Linked DNA regions of Elephas maximus indicus. The protein of the gene in region 2 purifies or fractionates together with the protein of the main gene of each other region. This does not show direct contact. Links are inferred from orthologs where the notes say so. Each region holds a gene or a part of one and is shown on either strand. Other genes may lie near its edges.

The links.
Region 1: the proteins of LMNA (region 2) and HNRNPM fractionate together in Homo sapiens (co-fractionation; 3 studies listed by BioGRID, with this or other methods). This does not show direct contact. The link is inferred for Elephas maximus indicus from reciprocal best matches to the Homo sapiens genes LMNA and HNRNPM.

The regions. Positions count from the first base shown.
Region 1 is NC_064821.1:13,147,052-13,157,040, forward strand, and holds the start of HNRNPM (heterogeneous nuclear ribonucleoprotein M), read left to right. Parts: upstream 1-6,231; 5' UTR 6,232-6,277; coding exon 6,278-6,390; intron 6,391-9,989. Other genes in the region: E3 ubiquitin-protein ligase MARCHF2, read left to right, coding at 1,741-1,899. UniProt on the Homo sapiens protein: Pre-mRNA binding protein in vivo, binds avidly to poly(G) and poly(U) RNA homopolymers in vitro. Involved in splicing.
Region 2 is NC_064821.1:193,909,509-193,919,984, reverse strand, and holds the start of LMNA (lamin), read right to left. Parts: upstream 4,164-10,476; 5' UTR 3,923-4,163; coding exon 3,567-3,922; intron 1-3,566.

The DNA of each region.
Region 1 (9,989 bases), about 180 Mb from region 2:
CAAAATGTGAAGATTGATCCAGCCCTCACATTCCCACTTTTCTGTCCTCGTCACCAGTCGCCCCCTGGCACACTTTCTCTCTGACCCTAGCCACCCAGAGCTGGGTCAGAACCCCCAAGTCAAAAGGACACCATTCTTCAGATTGCCAAATAGGGAGAGACCAGCTGCAAGCTTGGAGAGTCCACACGACAGCCCCTTCTGACCTGCTGGCTCGCATGCCCCTTTTGGTTTCATAATTTGCTGGAACAACTCACGGAATTTATGGAGAGTATGCCATACTTGGAGCCCTGGTGTCACAGTGGTTAAAAGCTCGGCTGCTAACCAAAAGTTCGGTAGTTCAAATACATCAGCCACTCCTTGGAAACCCTATGGGGCAGTTCTACTCTGTCCTGTAGGGGCGCTGTGAGTTGCAATCGCCTGGAAGGCAACAGGTTAAGCCATACTTAAGAGGACAGATTTATTATAGCCAAAAAGGTTGCAAACAAAGGGACACCTAAGGCGAGGTTTGGGAGCGTTGCCACTGTGGAGCTTCTGTGTCCCCAGGGGCATGTTATCCTCCAGAGAGCAGATGTTCTCAGTCAAACAGGAAGATCCCTGAGCCTCTCTGTTCAGGGCTTTTATTGGCCAGTCCTGCACGAGAGGCTAAATCATGCCTCCTGAGGCTAGTTGATACAGGCTCCCAGGTGAGTCTTCGCTGATCTAGCCCGCCCCCACTTGTCAGCACAAATCTTGAAAGTCCCCAAGTGAGGCACCCCAGTTCCTCCAAGGGTTATTTCTCTGGACAAAGGCTGCCCTCCTCAAGGTAAAACTAGATTCTTTACCCCACACGGAGAGAGAGAGGAGGAGAGAAACAGACAGAGAGATTGATGTTAAGAAATTGAGAAAGATTGAGAGAGACAGAGAAACAGAGCCCAAAAGACTGAAAGAGAAAGAGCAGAGGAATGAGAGAGATCGAGAGAGAGAGCGAATGGGGGGTGCTGTCCTGGCTGCAGCAGGCCTTAGAACTCTGGCTCAGAGAATCAATGCCCCCCAAAGTCTAACCACTGTTATGTGGGGGTCCCCTCCTCATGAATTGTTTGTTAATACATCCACCAGCACCTATACAGTGTGTGTGTGTATGTATTTCCCCCCACTTTGGATTCTTTTTTTACATATGTGTTATATATACGTATTTAACGGAGTATCAAATCATATTGTTTTGCAGTCTGTTTGTTTTCACTTAGCCGATGTCCTTTAAAAAAGAATCGGTCTCCCCATGTCTTACCTCGTCTGGGTGCACAGTATTTACGTAACCAATCCCTTTTGACGGACACTGGGATTCTTTCCATTTTTTTTTTTTGCCGTTAGGAACAGTGCTTTGGGCACCTGTGCAAATGTTTCTTGGGAGCTGGCTTGATTAAACGTTATGGCCCATGACCTTGAATCCCTCCCTAGAGGCTGTTTCCCTTCCCTCCCACCAACGCAGTGGGGCAATGATGAGGATGAAAAGAGAAGCCGAGAGGGGGTCCCCTTGCTCCCCTGCCGCAGACCCCACCTCGCCTTGGTAGGACTCTGGGTGCCAGTGGGGAGTTGCCCGGGGAGAGGCAGAGGGCTGTTTGCAGAGCCTGATGCTGCCTCTGCTTTTGGAAGTGTGAGCTCAGCCTGGTTTGGGTCAAGGCAGTACTCCACGGTCCCCATTTTACTCACCTGGGGGTGGAAGCCAGCCCGGCCTTCATCACCCACTTCCTCACTGTCCTGCAGGTCTCCTTCCGCTACCATTGCCAGCTGTACTCCGAATGGAGAAGGACCAACCAGAAAGTCCGCCTGAAGCTCCGGGATGCAGAGGGCTTCGAGAGCAACCAGCACTCCCCACTCGCAGCTGGACTCCTGAAGAAGGTGGCCGAGGAGACGCCCGTGTGACAGCCCGGCTGGTGGGGTCCTGCAGCAGAAAGGGCAGAGGCAGCTGGGGATGCCCTTGTGTTCAGAAGGGCGGACGAACTCATCCAATCCCACACGGCCAGAATGCTTCACAGGCCAAGTGATGCCAAGCGGAGCTTCTTCTGGGATCACATGTGACTAGATTTCCAAGTTTTTTGCACACTGTCATATATGACAAGGACAGATGGATGCGGCCCCAAGCTTCACACAGAGCGGGCACCCTGATCTCATCCTGAGGTCCACTCAGCACCTTTCCCCGCTGGCAGCCATGGCTGGTGTGTCAAGGGGGCCGGAAAGCTCCGGCAAGCTTCTTGCGCTTTTCTGCCCCGGCAGACTTGCTTCCCTGGCATCTTCGACTTTATAAAGTTGCACTGTTTCTCCCAAGCCCACCCTAAGTGAATAAAGGGAGCCCTTGCTCAGCTTTGTCAGTGATATTTCTGAACTAGGCCTCAAAGCGAGGGGCCCCGGGGCCCAAGGGGAGTCAGGAGCCATGTGGAGGTAAAAAATACACTTGGCAGGTTTGAGGGATCACAGAACATAGGAAGCAGCGGTGAAGGCTGAATTTTCAAGTGACAAGCAGGTTGTTGTTGTCGTTAGGTGCGGTCGAGTCGATTTCAACTTACGGAGCCCCCATGTGACAGAGTAGAATTGCTCTGTAGGGTTTTCTCGCCTGAAATCTTTACGGATGCAGATCACCAGGTCCTTCTCCCATGGAGCTGCTAGGTGGGTTCAAACCACCAATCTTTTGGTTAGCAGCTGAGCGCTTAACTGTTGTGCCACCAGAATTCCTTGACAAGCAGGTAACACTGTTATATAATACGTACTTCCACTTCTTTTGCATCTACCATGGGCCAGACGGAAACCCTGGTGCCATAGTGGTTAAGTGCTATGGCTGCTAACCAAAAGGTCGGCATTTCAAATCCACCAGGCACTCCGTGGAAACTCTATGGGGCAGTTCTACTCTGTCTTATAGGTTCACTATAAGTCAGAATCGACTCAACGGCAGTGGGTTTTTTTTTTTTTTTTCTTTTTATGGGCCAGATACCATGCTGGGCCTATTGCACTCATTAATGAAGATCACATCCACCTTTATCGCCAGGCGGCATCCCTCTAACTCACAACTACCCTGGGGCAGGGGAGGAAGAAGGTATTACTCCCATTTTGTAGATGAGAAGACTGCGACCCAAGCAGGGAAGCTTTTGTCTCAAGTCCCACAGCTGTAGGACATGGACACGGAGATTGACCCCAGGTCTGTGCCGCTCTGGTGCTGCGCTAGGGGAAGCAGAACGTGGTCATGTTAATAACAGCCTGTCTTAGTTATTTAGTGCTGCTGTAACATAAATACCACAACGGGATAGCTGTAACAAATTTATTTTCTCACAATTTAGGAAGCTGGAAGTTCGAATTCAGAGCACTGGCTTTAGGGGGAGGCTTTCTCTTTCTGACAGCTCTAGAGGAAAGCCTTTGTCTCTTCAGCTTCTGCTTCCTGGTTCCTTGGAGATCTCCATACGTTTTGGCATCTATCTTACTCCATCTCTGCTTGCTTGTTTAATCCCTTTTATATCTCAAAAGAGATTGACTCAAGACATACCCTATGCTAATCCTACCTCATTAACACAACAAAGACAACCCATGGGATTATAGCCACAGGCATCAAAACCCAAAATCAAACCTGTTGCATTCCAGTTGATTCCAAATCATAGTGACCCTATAAGGACAGAGTAGGACTGATTGTCCCTTAGGGTTTCCAGGGAGTGCCTGATGGATTCAAACTACCTGCCTTTTGATTAGCAGCCATAGCTCTTAACCACTACGCCACCAGGGCTTCCAGCGACCCTATAAAAACCCAGAATCAAACCTGTTGCTGTTGAGTCGATTCCGACTCAGATTCCGACTCATAGTGACCTTATAAGGACAGAATAGAACTGCGCCACAGAGTTCTATGCGCAAGGAGCGCTTGGTGGATTCCAACTGTCGACCTTTCGGTTAGCAGCTTTAGCGCTTAACCACTACACCACCAGGGTTTCCAGCAACCCTGTAGAGGTTAGGAATTACAATACATATTTTTGGGGGACACAATTCAATCCATGACACATTACCTCCTCCTTGAAAGCTTTCTGTGCCCTCCGTATGCTGTTTTTTACACTAAGGGCTCTTTGCATGGGGTGGCATTGAACGCTCACAGCAGCCCTGAAAGGTGGCTTCTGGTGTTAACCACATTTGCAAATAAGCAAACTGAGGCTCAGAGAGTTTGGGTCACTTGCCCAAGGTCACACAGTGCTGAGGGTCCCAGCACAGTGATTTGTCCTGTGGCCCATTCTGTTTTATTTTTAATTTTATTATTATTTCCTGTTTCACTTTAATGATATTTCACCATTATTTTTAATAAATAAATCAACTTATGTCTAAGAAAGACAAAACATTACTAATACAGTTGTGGCCCCCAGCTACCCAATCAAACCACCTCACTCTCCCCAGAGGGGCCCACCACTTGGTGTTTATCCTTGCGAAGATTTCTTATACTTGTTCTAACATGTTGTTAGTTGCTACCAAGTCAGCTCCAACTCATGGTGACCCCATGTACAAAAGAACGAAACGTTGCCTGGTCCTACGCCATCTTCATGATCATGGGTATCCTTGAGTTGTGGCCACTGAGTATTTTGAGTGCTGTTCTGTTGTTTTGTGCATGAATCCCAGCATACGTAGCTCACCCCCAGAGGAAGAAAGCCCCTCCCTGCCAACAGTTTGGTTAGTAGTGTTGACAGTTTGAACCCAGCCATCAAACCCACCCAGACGCACCATGGAAGAAAAGCCTGGTGATCTGCTTTCTAAAGGTAAAAACAACCAGCTGGCTGTCAAGTCAGCTCTGACTCATGGCGACCACATGTGTGTCAGAGTAGAACTGTGCTCCATAGGGTTTTCCAGCCTGTGACCTTTTGGAAGCAGATTGCCAGGCCTTTCTTCCAAGGCCCTTCTGGGTGGGTTTAACCTAGCAACATTTTAGTTAGCAGCCGAGTACTTAACCATTTGCTCCAAAAAGCCTTGAAAGCCCTGTGGAGTGACGCTGTGGCATCTACTCAATGTCAACAGTTTGGCTTAGTTTAGGAGTTCCCAAACTGGGGTCAGAATGACCAGGCTAAATTAAGCAGCTGGGAGGGTGTGGTGGTTGAGCTGTTCAGCCAGAACCTGACGAAATGTAGTCATTCCATGAGAGAGAGAAAGCCAGTCTTTCCCTTGGCAAGCCTAGAAAGAATATGGTGGTTGAATGGGAACTTCTGCAGACCCCGTGAGGCATTTCACAGATCCAAAGACACCATAGGTAAACTTGGATGGGGAAGAGAGCCTGAGGCCTCTGGATACTCACCTGGGCTGCAGTCCCAATGTGGCTGCCCCAGGACACAGCCCCATAACAGCCCTGGACACACAAGGTTGAGAATAGAGCTGACACTTGGTTGGGACCCCACAAGGGAGAAGGGTCAGGTCAGGGCACAGCCCAGTACCAGGCAGGAACCCCAGTTCAGGTTAATGAAAACATCCATGAGCACTTACTCAGTCCCCAGCTATGTGTTTGGCTGCTGATTGACAGATGGGTTCAGGGAGGGAGATGTAGGCCAGGGTCTCTGCACCCAGAACCTTCCAGCATGGTAGGCGGACAGGTTGGACCCAGCTCAGATATTCAAGGTGCTTAGAGAGATGGTGCTTTTCACACCAGTCCTATTACCTGGATCACCCACGTTCTGCTCACAGTGTCTGGCTAACTCCTTTATGTTTTTGTACACTTTCCAGGAAGTCCCTGGGTACTGCAAATGGTTAAGCACGCTTGGCTGCTAACCAAAAGATTGGAGGTTGGAGTCCACCCAGAGAATCCTCGGAAGAAAGGCCTGGCGATCTACTGCTGAAAAACTAGCCCTGGAAAACCCTATGGAGCACAGTTCTAGTCTGACACACATGGGGTCGCCATGAGTTGGAGCGACTTGAAGGCAACTAATTGGTTGGTTGGTTGACGCTTCTAGAAACCCCTAGACAGCTGTCGCTGTCCCTTTGCCCCAGCTCTGGCTACAGAAAGCTGGGAGGGACTAGGTCCGGATGGGCGATGTTTCCTCAACAGACTTTGAAAACGGTTGAGCGATCCCGTCGGTGCCTAATGCAGGCTTGTCGCGGGAATGAATAACAGCTGCCAGTGTGCGCCTGCGCGCGGCGGGGGCGTGGCCCGGGGCCGGGGCGTGGCCGGGGCGGGAGGGGACAAGGCGGGAGCCGGCCGCGGCGCGTGCAGGCGTTACTGGTCGTGCCGGGTCACGTGAGCGCGCAGGCGCAGCGCCGCGCAGCTGCCTCGCTCACACAAAGCCCAGACGCGAAGAAAATGGCGGCAGGGGTCGAAGCGGCGGCCGAGGTGGCGGCGACGGAGCCCAAAATGGAGGAGGAGAGCGGCGCGACCGGCGTGCCGAGCGGCAACGGGGCTCCGGGCCCCAAGGGGTGAGTATTCCACTATTCCTTGGCCTGGGCTCTCTCGCGGCGGCCGGCAGCCTACTCGCGGCGGCGACTCCGTTAGTCTGTTGGCGGTCTTCCCCCGGCGCGGCCTCGGCCTTGGCCTTTCCCGCAGGGCCGGCCGAGGAGCCAGGCGGCCTCGGGAGCGCCTCACGGCTTGTCTCCCACTCCTCAGGCCTCAACCCCCATCAGGTCGGGACCGACCCTGACGTCGAGGCCTCAGGCCCCGTCTCTGCCCCCGAGGATAATGGCGCGGGCCCTGGAACCGGTGAGCCCCGGGTCCGAGACCGGCTCGGCGGTCCGGTGACCTTGGGCGCGTGGCGTAACCCCTGCTCCTCTCCCTGGGTCTCCGTTTCCTGATTCGTAAAGTGGGGGAGGGGGGAGAGTGCGCGCGCAGGGCCCCGCGCAGTGTCGGCCCCGGTAAACGGTAGCGTTGGGGGGGTGTCGGGAAAGGCCGCGAGGGCGGATCAGGCTGTCCCCCCCCCCAGCTGGCTCGCTCTTTCCTCCCTCCCTCCTCTCCCCTTCCTTCTCCTCTCCCCTCCCCCCCCCGCGTCGCCCACTCCCCCTCCCCTCTGTAAGTGCCTCTCTTGGAACCGCCCCACGCTCTGGCCCGGCCTGAAGTCCCTCTCGGCTTCCGCGCCGCCTCCCCAGGTGCGCAGTAGGTATTCGTAGAGTGATCGGACCTGCTGGTCGATTGTCACCCTTAGAAACAAACAAACACAAACAAAAAGTAAGGGATTAAAAAAAAAAAAAATGCAATCTCCGTCCGTGTTGCAGGGAAAATTTTTCCATCGTTAGTCTGGCTCATCCACTTCCAGACCCCGTCATGTTTTCGAGGCCTGCTCGGGTCCCTGTCTCGGGTCCTTGTCTCGGGTCTTTGGAATTTGAAAATTGAGTTAAAGGAGGCGGCCTCCTCTTGTGGCTCGGTGAAACCCGGTCTTTCGGATTACAGGCACTGGAAAAGAAGATCTGAAGTGTTTTGGCTCCAACCAGCGGCCGCGGGGGGAGGGGAGGAAAAGGCTGGGCGCACCTTTGATTTCCCACAGATATTTTAAAGTGAGTAACGTAGAGTTGAGTTTTCAGCAAGTACAAGATGTTTGGGAGTTGAGTGACTGTTGTTAAAGCATTTATGTTAATGAGTACGTAGTAAATGCCAGCTATGTTGTTGGATGGGAAAATATTTCAGGCCCTGTCTCTACTTAGGTGGGGAGGGACAACATAAATGTAAAAGTGTGTTTTGAGCCAATAGAAAGGTTGTGGTCCTCGGAAATCAAGAAAAAGTTATCTTCTAATTATTCCCCAAACTGGAAACGCTGGAAAGGGACGTCATTTTGTCTTTTTTCACCAACTGTCTAGGGGAGCCTAGAAGGACTTCTGAGATACATCTAGGTGTCCTGTATTGCTTTTTTTTTTTTTTTTCTTCTTCAAAGCAGTTACTACAAGATGGAGGGCTGCTAGAACCATGCAGGTGAAAGGTTGAATTAGAGATTATAGCACATGAAGTACATTTTTAAAGCTTTCCACTTTCCACCATCCATTTTCATATACCAAAAACTAAACCTGTTGCCATCGAGTTGATCTGGACTCATAGCGACCCTGTAGGACACTAGAACAACTGCCCCTTAGACTTTCCAAGGAGCGCCTCGTCGATTTGAACTGCCGACCTTTAGGTTAGCAGTCATAGCAGCTAACCACTACGCCACCAGGGTTTCCCATTTTCAAGTGGATAGACATTATGTGACATTTTCACTTGACAGATGTGATAAGTGGAGTGTTAAAAACCTGAAGGCAGAGATAAGACAAGCCCTTGTTGGAAAGATCCTTAGAGTCTAGAACAGGCTTAATAGAGGGTACTTTAGGAAGCTAGCAACACTTAGATCTTTTTCCTAGAGCCTGTGAAAAACTTTTTTTGCATTGTGAAGCTCTTGAAGCTCTTCAGTAGCCCACGGAGAGGGGACTCAGGTTTTTGCAGTGAGGTAATTATATGCAGTGATGGAAGTGAGTGGAGTGTCGGGAGCACAGCAGGCTGCCCCCCTTCCCGACCTAACCTGATGTGGTGGGAGTGTTCCACCAGGAACAGGAAGGGGAGAGAAGATGGTTGGGGAGAGGCAGAGAGGACAGTGTCCAGAGGACCTGGGGTTTTGGTATATGCTTTGTATGTTTATAAAGAACTGAAGCTGTTGTAGTGTTGAAGGCTGGGGCCAGCTTGTGGGCAGTGAATTCAGGCTAAGGAATTTGGGTTTTTATTTCAAAAGTGTTTGAGAGATAAGTCAGAAGGCAGAAACTTGGGCCTGCTGACCTCTCTCTACCAGGAGTGTGCAGTTGACCCATAAGGCAGTGATGCCAGCGAGCTTGACCAGACCCTAGGTTGGACAGTTTGTTTTGCAGTTACTGGGTGTGAGAAGAGGGATTATTCTACTTGGGTGGGAAATCTCTTCCATCTAAAGGCAGCCAAGATTCAGAGTTAGGGTGTAATGTAGTAGTGGAAAATCACTCATTTTGGAGAAATAGAAATGTTTGATTTTTATAAAGGTTGCGCCATGTATTAGAAATCTGCCACTTAAGCTACCCCCCCCCCCCCAGTTATTTTTGTGGCTGAATCAGAAAACAGATGGATTGGTTATTTTAAAAATAAATATATTCGATATAGATTCTTGGGGAGCAATATTAGTCTTAACTCTGTTTTATAATCCAGAAAAAAAAATTTTTTAAGCGATTGAGAAAACTCAGGTTAAGGAGCTTGACTCAGTACTCTAGGGGAGGCCATCTTGATTCCAAGATCCTTGCTGCTTCCACAGTGACCACTCACTGAGCAGTCATTTGAATGGCTTTATTTAAACCAGATTTTCTGTGCTTTACAAGGATTGTCGTGTTTGCTGTACTTTTCAAAGTGACTGCATACATGATAGAAAGGTTTTTTGAGGCACATTAGATGGTGAGCTCAGGATTAGAATAGGGGGCTCTGGATTATTTGAGTACGTGCTACCAGTCCTTAACTTTCACTTGGCTCTTTGATATTATTCATGGCTAGGGAAAGAGATACTAGTCTGCGAAGATTAGGTTGCTTGTGTTTTTTTTTTGTTTGAGTTCTCAGATGGGCTCTTCCGTTACCTTGTTTTGTTTTCATCGAGTTAAAAGCTGAATGTCTCTTCAGTAGTCTGTAATGAGTATAGGTGCCAAGGTTTCCTCAGCCACTGCCCTTGTTGGCTTGTTTTAAAGCTTAATCAGGACGTGCAGTGTTAGAAGGCTAGGAGTGAATCAGTCCCTTTCCCCACCCCCTTCAAGAAAATTACTGGTACAAAAATATATCATTTGTCAGTCAAGAGCCTTAAACCTGTAAGTGTAGATACTGATCTCCATTTCCAAATGAGGGAACTGAAACCTAGGAAAGAGATGGTGACATGGGGTTCAAACCCAGACATGTGACCCTAAAGACTGAGCTTTTCTTTATCACTGCTTTCTTTTTTTGCATTTAAAATTTACGAAGTTGCTTTTTGCCTGTGTTAGTCTTTGTCGATTCTTACAGCATCCGTGCGAACTACCATGGATACGTGTTCTCCTGGTGTTTCTGGTGAAAAGCCAGAGAG
Region 2 (10,476 bases):
GTTCATGGGAAGGCAATCAGGACCCTACTGAGAAATTTTTCTTTCTTTTGTTTCTCCCGGGCTCCTTAAGTACTTCTCGGTCCCCAGGTTTAGTTGTACCTTCTTCTTTCCCTTAGATCAAAACATGGACTTCAGGGCAGGGAGATGGGAAAGGTAAAACCAAGAGGTACCCTCAGATGAGGGCTGGGGCCCAGGGCTACCCAAAGGCCCCTACCCCATTCTCCTAATGTCTCTGCCAAAGTGTATAATCTCCTTCTGTTCTGGGTAGACAATGCTCATGACGAGTCTCAAGACAATCTCAAGACAGGAATCCCCAGCCTCCTGTAGCCTCCCAGAGCTCGATCTCACCATGCATGATCTGGCAGGGACACAGGTCTTTCCAGGTACAGGCTGGGGCAAGGGCTGTTGATCAAGTGCTAACAGGCCCTGGCAGGAGAGCAGAGCATCGAGGCATCACAGGTCCCAGAGCAGAAACTCCAGGCCTCAGGAGTGAAGCTCAGAACCCAGGGGCTGGGCCTCTAGCCCCCACCCTCAGAGCCCTTTGACCTATCCCTTAAGCTAGAGAAGTGAGGTTTAATGGTAAGAGTACTTGGCTGGGAGTCAGAAGGCCTGGGCTCAAGTCCTGGCCTGTTATCCACTTGCTGTGTGTGATATGGGACAAACCTCTGTGGCCTTTGCTATCCTTGTCCTATCAGAGCCTGCACCTCTCAGTGAGGCTGCATAAGGTGGACAATCCAGGAAGTCATCAAGCACCAGAGCCCTGTCCGGGGGGAAGAGGTACTTCTGCTTTGTGGGCTTGGGATCACCCTACTTGTGACTCAGGCTTCCTTGGTCAGTTCCGTATGGGAAGGCACAGACCCTGGCAACCCCAGCAACCCCTACAGCCCAAGCCCATAACTCTGGACTCAACTCTAGAACCACTTGTGCATATTGCCTGTCCAGAACCCTGATTCTAGAACATCACCAGAGGAAAAGGACCCCAAGATGCAGTAGGAAGGGGCATAGAACACTAACACATTCAGATCTCCATCCCCTCCTTTAAGACATCTGCTATGTCCACCCTGTCTCTTGAAAAGCCACCAGGGTAGGAAGGAGGAGGCAGCATCTGAGTCATCCACTCAGCTGTCCTACCTGGGGTGGGGCCCAGCTCCCAGCCTGGACCCCCAGACGGGCCTTCCCTATCACTCTCAACCTTCCCATTCTCCCTGCACTTGGGTATCCAAATCTTTCAGGCTCCAGGGTAAAAAGAGTGTGTGTGTGTGGTTGGGTGGGTGGGGGGAGGGAAGGAGGGCCTTCTGCGGGAAGCTTATAACCTAGCCCAGCAAAAGGAAGCCCCAAACTCCTGGGTGTGGTCAAGGTACCCAGCCTGGGCCAGGGATTGCTACAGGGTCTTACAGGCAGCTCTGCATCCCAACTCCAAGCCTGACCCTGAACTCTGAGCTCTAATTAAACATTAAACCAGACAACACCTTCTCTCCAAGCTTCAGTGGGAGGGATTGAGGCAATACCTTTCTTCCTCTCCCAAACTCTTCATTCTACCCACTTCTCCACCCCACCCTGAGGACAGCAGGCGCAAAAGGGAGGACCAAATCCTGGCTCCTCCTACTGGAGACATAAAAGGGGACAGGCACTCCAGTCCAAGCCCCCTTCGTCCCTTCACCCCTACTTCCCATCAGCCTGGGATCCAGGTGTGCACCACCCGCCCCCCTTTCCCGGAAGCCCAGTCAGGATCAGTGGGGGAGAAGAGAGGCAGGTGGCTAAATATAACAAGTACACACACCACCCCCGCCTCTGCCCCACGTGCACACACACCCGCCTGGTGTCCCAAGCCTGGACAGCTGCACCAGAAGGCAAAAGAGACAGACCGGTGTGGCTGAGTTAGCAAGAGACTATAGACGCTGCTCATCCTGTGGGCCAGATCAATGTCTTCTCAAGAAAAACATCTGCTAAAGATGTCCTTCATAAGAATCTGGAAGGCAAGGGGCTGCCTAGGCAGTTGAGTGGACTAGTTTAGAGCACTAATTCTCTTAATTCTTCCAACCAGTCCAGTGCGGGTAGGGACACACCTTGTTTGCCTCCAGTTTGTCCTGCTAAGTTGTTCATATTAGTAGGGAAAAAAGATAGGAGTGATCTCTTTCAACAGGTTGAACCCATGTCTCCCCAAGGAACTTCCTTCCACTCATTAGAAGGGTGATAGGATCTGGTCACACCCACTATACCTCTGAGCAGAGTGTAGTGAAGGGTCAGGGGTGGTGAAGGGGTAGAACAACCATAGAATACATAGAGGGGATCTGGAAGGAGCAGGAGTTTGGAGAAAATGATGCGGAGGGAGAGGGGAGGTCAAAACCCACAGGCCCTCCTGGGATCTCTAGGCCTGGGTCTTCATAGAGGAAAGGGGAGCAGGGAGAAGGAAACCAAATTCTTGGGGGGCTGGAAGAAGAGGGCCTAAACTTCCAGGCTTCCAAAGGGTAGAGTGGAGTAGGGTGTGGTAGGGTGGGGCAGGACTGGGTGAGGTGGGAGTGGCCTGAAGCTTCCAACGGCTGGATTTCAAAAATGTCACTGTATTCCAGCAGTTTAATAAGGCAAAGATCAAAAACGTCAGCGGCTGAGAGGATGGGCCAGACCAAGAGCAAAGACTGCTCGGGCTTGGCTGGGAAAATGAAAGTGGCTCACTCAGACAGGGAGGGAGAGGGAGGGATAGAGGCCTGACCCTCTGCAGACACCAGGCAAGACGACCAAGGTGGGGGGGGTGCCACCAGACCTGGGCATAACACAACTTCCTGAGCCTGGAGCCTCTGCCCTCGGTCTCCCTCCCTCCCTTGCATTCCTGGGCCAAGCAGGCCAAGGGCTGTGGGAGCTGCGGGGGAGCTGCACTCCTGGAGCCCTTTGGTGGGCCTGTCAGAGCTCAGGAAAGGTCTCAGGCATGTAGGGAGTAAGAAAGAGCTTCTGACTCTTAGCAAGAATTCAGGAAAGGGTCATGCCAAGGAGGCCACTGCCACGCCCCTGGAGGGGAAGAAGGGGGTCACCCTGCCTTGTGACCTCTCTCCAGCACCACTGGACATCTGCCAGCCTGGGAGTTCTGTCTTAGTGTGCATCACGTGCTCAGAGCCAGCTTGCCCAAATCTGGCATAGTGCCAAGGCTGCCAAGAAAGTTCTAATAGGGCCCTCTCACCCACTCCAGTGTGCCCTGGGTGCCTAGATTTTTCATACCTAGCAGGGCCAGTTCTGCTTTGACCAAGCTTCTCCCCCAGGCTCCAAATGGCAGGCAAACCCCACCCTAACGGAATGCCGCCTGCCACGAGCCCCTATTTGGCCCGGATGCTCCCACTGTTCCTTGTATTTCCCACCCTCTCCCAGAGACCCCTTCCCTCTCTGTCCTATGACAACTATTCTCCTTGGCACCGCCAGTCCCTCGCCTGGGGCAGTTCCGGGGAGGGAGGAGACTATATGGCAAACTTATCAGCCTCCCAAAGCACTCTCGCTCCCTTCCTGTAGCCCGGCAAGGGCGCCGCTCCGCCTGCCCTCTCTGCTCCGGGCCCGGCAAGCTGCCACCTGGGCGCACTCACCGCGCTTTGAGCTCCTTAAACTCCTCTCGCACTTTGCTCAGCTCCAGCTGCAGGCGGGCGCGCTCCTTGGCCACCGAGTCGAGGGTCTTGCGGGCATCTCCAAGCTCGGCCTCATAGGCGGCCTTGATGCCGGACACCTCGCGGCTGACCACCTCCTCGGACTCGGTGATGCGAAGGCGCAGCCCTGCGTTCTCCGTCTCCAGTGAGCGCACACGGTCGATGTATACCGCCAGGCGATCATTGAGCTCCTGAAGGTCTTCCTTCTCCTGCAGCCGGGTAATGCGAGTGGGCGACAGCGGGGTGGAGCTGGCCTGCGCCCCACTGCGGGTGGCGCGCCGTTGGGACGGAGTCTCCATGGCCGGCAGGATGGCAGCGCTGCCCTAGGGGCAGGGGTCCCGAGAAGGGCGCGGGGCTCGGGCTGAAGGACAGAGACTGCTCGGGGTCGGAGCGCGCCGGCCGGTTGGCTCTGGGCTTGCTCCTGGCAGGCGTGGTGATCTGGGCCGGGCGCTGTCGGACTTCGGGATCCGGGTTGGCTAGTGCAGATGCAGTGCTCCCGCGAACTCTCTGAGTCACTGACGCCGGGGCAAAGGCTCTAATAGGTCTATGGAAAAGGAGGAGTGGCCACTGTTCTTAAAGGGGCCGTCACATACCCACAGGGGCCGGGTGGGATCGGCGAAGAGCTGAGAGGACCTGGGGGACGGGGGCGGAGACGGGCCCCACCCTCTCCCGCGCACTGCCTTCTGCCTAGGACTTCGCTGAAGCTCCTGCGTCTTGGTTCCTGCCTACTCAGTCCTCCTAGCTCCAAGCTTTCCCCGACTCCCTCTGCCTTCTGGGGTAGAGGGCAGAGCCAAGGGATGAGAGTGGGTGGGCAAAGGGCAGGGGGAAGGGGGAACCAGTTGTAAAGCAAAGGGAGGGGTCCAGGCGGGCAGGCTGGGCTACAGGAAAGTGGGGGGAGGGAGGAGGCTGGTGGCTAGCAGGGTGACTCACCCTGCTTCCACCACAGGCTCCCCCTTCCCTCTCCCCCCCTTCCCTCCCCGTAGTAACAGTGAGTCACCCCTACTCCCCCTCCGCACGTGGGCAGCCCATTCAAAGCTGCATCTCGGCATGCCAGGGGTGGGGTGGAGAAAGAATGCCGGGGTTCCCCCGGGGGACAGCGAAGTTCTGGGTCCTGAGTTCCTTTACCCCCTCAGTCTTGGGGTAGAATCAGGAATTGGGGGTCCCTTTACCCCATCTTCAAGGAGCTCTGATGGCACAAGAGCTCCATTGCTAACGGAAAGGTTGGTAGTTCGAACCTACCAGCGGCTCTGGGAGAAAGATGTGGCAGTCTGCTTTCATAAAGATTACAGCCTTGGAAACCCTATGGGGCAGTTCTACTCTGTCGTATAGGGTCGCTATGAATCAGAATCGACTGGACAGCAATGGGTTTTTTGGGTTTTCTCCTATCTTCTGTCTGAATTTATTCCCTTCGAAACCAAGTGTTGGGTCTTACACCCAAGCCCAGTTTCCCAGAGAAGGCCAAGAATAGGACCCAGGCATCTGCACCCCCCATCTCCTGCCCCCTTCCTTTGGTCCCAAGCAGTTGGAAAATAGGATGCCTAGGTTTCTCCCCCTTTCAGTCCCTTTCTGCTCCTCACCCCACCCAGCCAACTCCAGGACTGTACTTATTTTTTTCCAGAACTGTACTTATTTTAATGGATAATTTAAAACAGATACCAGAGCTGTGCGTGCGCTCATCATGTTGCCAGGACACCAGGTCCCAGATTTTTGTGGTTCCCAGAGGGGCCTAAAAGGGGGAGCAGGGCCAGGGCGTGGGCAGCCAATGTTGGGTCTTCATCCCAGTTCCAGCCAGAAAGGAGGGGGTTAGGGATAGCCAAGAACCCACAGCCTCACTGGCTACAAAGGCCAGCACTCCCTCACTACACTCCTCTTGGCCAGGTTTGATTTGCAGCTGGCTCTGGGGAGGGAACCAGGACTCTTACATGACAGGAGCACCCAGGACCCCAGACTTCCTGGCCTTGGAGCCTTGGGCCTCACCAAGGACCCTCTGACCAGCCTCCTGCTCCCCCCCCTAATCCTGGCCCTGACCCCACCAGCCACCTAATCCACTCTAAGAGGTGTCAGTGCTGAGGCTCGAGGACCCATCTGCCTGCCTGACCCGCCTGATGCCTCTCACAGTTTATTCTCTGATGAGGAACCCAGGAAATTAAATTATGTTGCTAACTCCTACAGCTCCCAGATAGCAGGATTTCTGTAATAGACAGGGGAAGCAGGGCTGGGCAGCTCCTCAGTTCTGGGTTCTGGAGCCAGGCTTCAAAGTGCACAAGGGGCAGTAGTGGGATTAAGGCAGGGACTCTGTTCAGGGAGGGACTGATGGGAGGGGGTGCCTAGGTCCCCATCTCTGTGAGGGTGACTGGCCAGTGGGGTAAGCACCCACCTCTGGGACTCAGGACATGACTCCCCTCCCTGCAGCCCTCTCCCCCAGGGTGCAGCACCCCACCCTCAGCTTCCCAGACAAAACAAAAAGCCTTGTTCTGCTTCTCCCTCTCCTGTTCCCCAAACCAAGAGCAGAGGCAGGGTGGCTGAGCCAGAGAAACGTGAGGGGACGGCTCGTGCTGTTCCCGCTGCCTCAGCCCCTCCCTGGCACCGAGCCCCCCCTCCGCCCCACCCAGTGGCCTGGCTTCCCCTCTTGGCTGGGAAGGCAAAACCACACTTAACTCTTCCTATCCTGGACCACCTCATCTTTGGGGAGAAGGGGCAGGAGAAAGGAACAGGGCTTTCACCCCAAATTTCACTCTGGGCTCTTTCCAAAAGGCCTTCCCTCCCACCACAATGGCATCAATTCCTAATTTGAACTTCAAAGTGGGCCTTTGTTCCTGAACATTTCATCCTAACCCTGGCCCCCCAAATGCTATCTGTTTGCTTTCCCAGGAGAGCAGAAGAGATCAGGTCCCACAGGGCTGGGTCTGCTGGGGTGAGGGTGGAGGGGAATTGTTCCTGGGTGGCAACCAGGTTCCAAACCTACCTCTCTCTTGCTGCGTGATGCCAGACCAGCTACTGAATTCTCTGGGCCTTGGTTGCTCATGTGTAACATGGCCAGAAAGTCTACTAGACACATGAGGACAGAGCTCCTCAGTGTGCAGAGGGTGGACAGGGTACAGCGATGCTACACTGGCCCTCGAGGAAGCTGCCCACGGGTAGGGTAGACTGAAAAAAAAAAAAAAAAAGACAGGGAGAGGCAAAACCAACAAGCACAAAGAGTAGCATAGGGCACTGAATTGGATAATAAATTCTAAATGAACCCCAGGAGGCTGGGGCCTGGAGAGTTAATGAGTGATCTCAGGATATGGTGGGTGAAGACCAGGGGATGGCTTGGGGAGGGAAGGGGCACCTGTCTTAGAGGCCAATGATCTTGGTGGAGGCCTTTCTTTTGTGCTCCTATAGCATTCTGGGCCTCCCTCTACATCCCCCCCTTCAAAGATGAGCTCTTTGAGGGACAGAAAGGCCCAAGTCTTGGTCATCTGTGACCCCAACATCTGGCCAGTGCCCGGCACACAACAGATGCTCAGTGATTCTTGGATGAACAAATGCATCTGGCCCTGCTACTTTTCAGGAAGAGTGATTCTAAGCAAGACTCACTTCTTTCAGCCTCAGTTTCCTCATCTGTAAAATGGGAGTGTTGTAATGATTAAATAAGGTAAAATGCATTTAAAGGAAGGCTTCTTGGAAAAGAGAGATCTAGGGACTCTACAGAGGTGCTGTATACACAGTGAATTCAGTCATTTAACAAACACTTATTGAACACTTACTACATGCCAGGCACTGTTCTAGACACTGGGGAAACAGCAGTGAATAAAACAGACCAATATCCCTGCCTCATGGAGCTGATATTCTAGTGGAGCCCATAAACAAAAGATACAAATTTACAGTTTGTTAGAAGGTGGTTAAGTGCTATGGAAATAAAAATATAAAGCAGGGCAATGCTCTCAAACAGCGAATCATACTTTTATGCCGTTTATAGTTGTACATTTTCAAATACATTCTCTAACTTGGTCCACAAAACCCCTTCATGGGCTGGAGGTTACTTCCCTGTTTTAAAGGTGAGGCTTGCTTTCCCAAGACTAGACAGTAAGTAATAGCCAGAGCTCAGAGCTTGGACTAGAAACCGGATAGCCTGGTCCAAATCTAGGGTGTGCTTCACTATCTTAGGCCACTTTGGCTGGCAGCATGAGAGATGCGCGGTGTGGACTGGTGCTGGGAGGAAGTCTGTGTAGAGTTGCTGAAGTTGGCAAGAGCAGGGAGGTGAGGTCGGAGACTACGGGAAGAGAAGTGGGAGGTGGAGGCAGGGAGCTGAGAAGAGCTCTGGTACTGGGATGGGCTCTGAGCCAGAAAATTCTAGCTGCGTGGTAGGGCTTGGGGTCAAAAGGAGAAGGGAGGCATCAAGACCAGTAAGGAAAGAGTCAGAGGCATTGGTATTGGCAAGACAAGCTAAACTGGGCTGAGTCTCAACAGGGGGATGAAACCAGGAAGGTTTCAGAGGAATCCTAATAACAATTATTCTAGGGAATATTTATGGACTGTTGGTAGGCACTGGGTGTTTGCATAATCTTCTGAATTTACATAATAACTCTAGCAAATGGATACTACTATTATCCCCATTTTACAGATGAGAAAACTGAAATCATTTAAGGCAGGATTTCCCAACCTTGGCACCACTGACATTTAAAAAAAAAAAAGGACCAAATAATTCTTTGTTGAGCTGAGCTGTTCGGTGCATTGCAGGGTGTTTAGCAGCATCCCTGGCCTCTCTACCCATTAAATGCCACTAAGTGACTCCGCCCCCAGTTATGACAATCAAAAATGTCTTCAGACATTGACAAATGTCCCTAGGGAGGGGAGATAAAATGGCCCCTGGTTGAGAACCACTGGCCTAAGGTCATATGGATAGTAGCAGAACTGGAATTGTCAGGCTGTAATACTGGACAGGTGGGAGTGGGAGAGAGGAGCATTCAGACGGGATCCTAAGCCATTGGGGAGGCAGTTCTACTCCTCCATGGGGGTGGGAAGGGGTGACTCTTTGGAGGAGGTTCTGGAGAGTGGGGGTGATTTAGAGACCCAAGGCCATGGCTTAGCAATTCCTTTAGCGTTTCTTGAGGGAGGGTTCTTAACTTATTCATCCTTTGAACACAGGGTCTGGCACTAAACAGCTATTGAACAGCCGAGTCACTCAGGCACAGGTGATAGTTATAACCTTGAGCATGGAAGAACTTGCCTGTTCTAAAGAAGCCACTACCTTGTGCTAGGCACCAGGCTAAGGACTGTGTGGAGGTGATCCCATTTAATTTTCACCTCAACTTTATGAGGTAGGTATTATCATCTGCATTTTATATGCCAAGAACCCAAAACTCAAAGAGGTTGAGTGATTGGCCTGAGGTAACACGGCTGAGTGTTAGGATGGCACAGGACCCAGAAGTGTTTCATTCTGTTGCACACAGGGCTGTGAGTCGGCCTATGAGTCCAACAACAACAGCACAGCTGAGGAGACTGTGGCCTTTGTCCCGTGTGGACTGGAACCACTGCTGAGAATTTCTATTCCCACCCTAGATATACTGCATCAGAATCTACAGTTTAACAAGATCCCCAGGTGATTCTTATGTATAATAAATTTTGAGAACCGCGGCTCTACTAGGAGCATTGGTGGCACAGTGGTTAAAGTGATTGACTGCTAACCAAAAGGGTGGCGGTTCAAAACCACCGAGGGATCCTTGGGAGAAAGATGTGGCAGTCTGCTTCTGTAGAGATTTACTGTCTTGGAAACCCTATGGGGTCGCTATGAGTTGGAATTGACTCCATGGCAGTGGGTTTGGTTTGGACTGGGCTCTACTAGTGGTTTTGAGAATTGGTCCCTAGCCAGCAGCATTAGCATCGCCTAGGAGCTTGATACAAATGCAAATTCTTAGCAGGGTTTCCAGCTAGAATGAACTGGTTCCATGTCCTAGTAGGGTCATAGCTGATTGGGGGTGGGAGGAAGCCTGTTATGGATTGAATTAACCCAACCCAAGTCCCCAAAAGTATGTATTGTAAATCCTAACCTCTATGCTTGTGGTTATAATCCCATTTGAGAATAGGTTGTCTTTGTTAATGAGGCAGGATTAGTGTATTTTGAGTCAATCTCTTTTGAGATATAAAAGAGATTAAACCAGAGAGCAGAGATGGGGGAAAAGAGATGCCAGGCCACATGAAGATCTCCCAGGAGCAGAAGCTCACAGAGACAAGGACCCTCCTCCAGAGCCGACAGAGAGAGAAAGAGTTCCCCTAGAGCCAGCACCCTGAATTCGGACTTCTAGCCTCCTAACTGTGAGGAAATAAATTTCTGTGTTCAAGCCATCCACTGGTGGTATTTCTATTACATTAGCACTAGATAACTAAAACTAGTCCTTAGAAGGAGCAAGTGATTTACAGCCATTCTTTTAGGCCACAGAACCTCACTCAAAAAAGCCCTCATGATTTAAAAAAAAAAAAAAAACCCAATATTCTAAATGACAGGTACAGCCTCCCTAGGAGGGAGGTTGGGGGACCTCTGTCTGGTGATCCCCCTCCAGGAGTCTCCCAGGGCTCTGAGGAATAACCCCTTCTCTCTATAGGTAGGCTTCTGAGGCCTGAAGGGGAAAAATTTCCCCAAGTCACATGACCAGGCAGGGCCAGGCCCCCTAAAATAGTGCTCCAACCCCATCCCACACTACCCCAGGAGATGAGATGGCACCCCAGACAGATTTTGAGGTATGAAGGCACCCCAAAGGACCAGCACTGATGTCCCTCTGATGCGGACAGGCCAGGTGCGGAACCAGAGTGGGGCTGTTTTCCTTCTTTGCTCCAGCTCTGCTGGAATGAGCAGCTGGATAATGGGTATGGA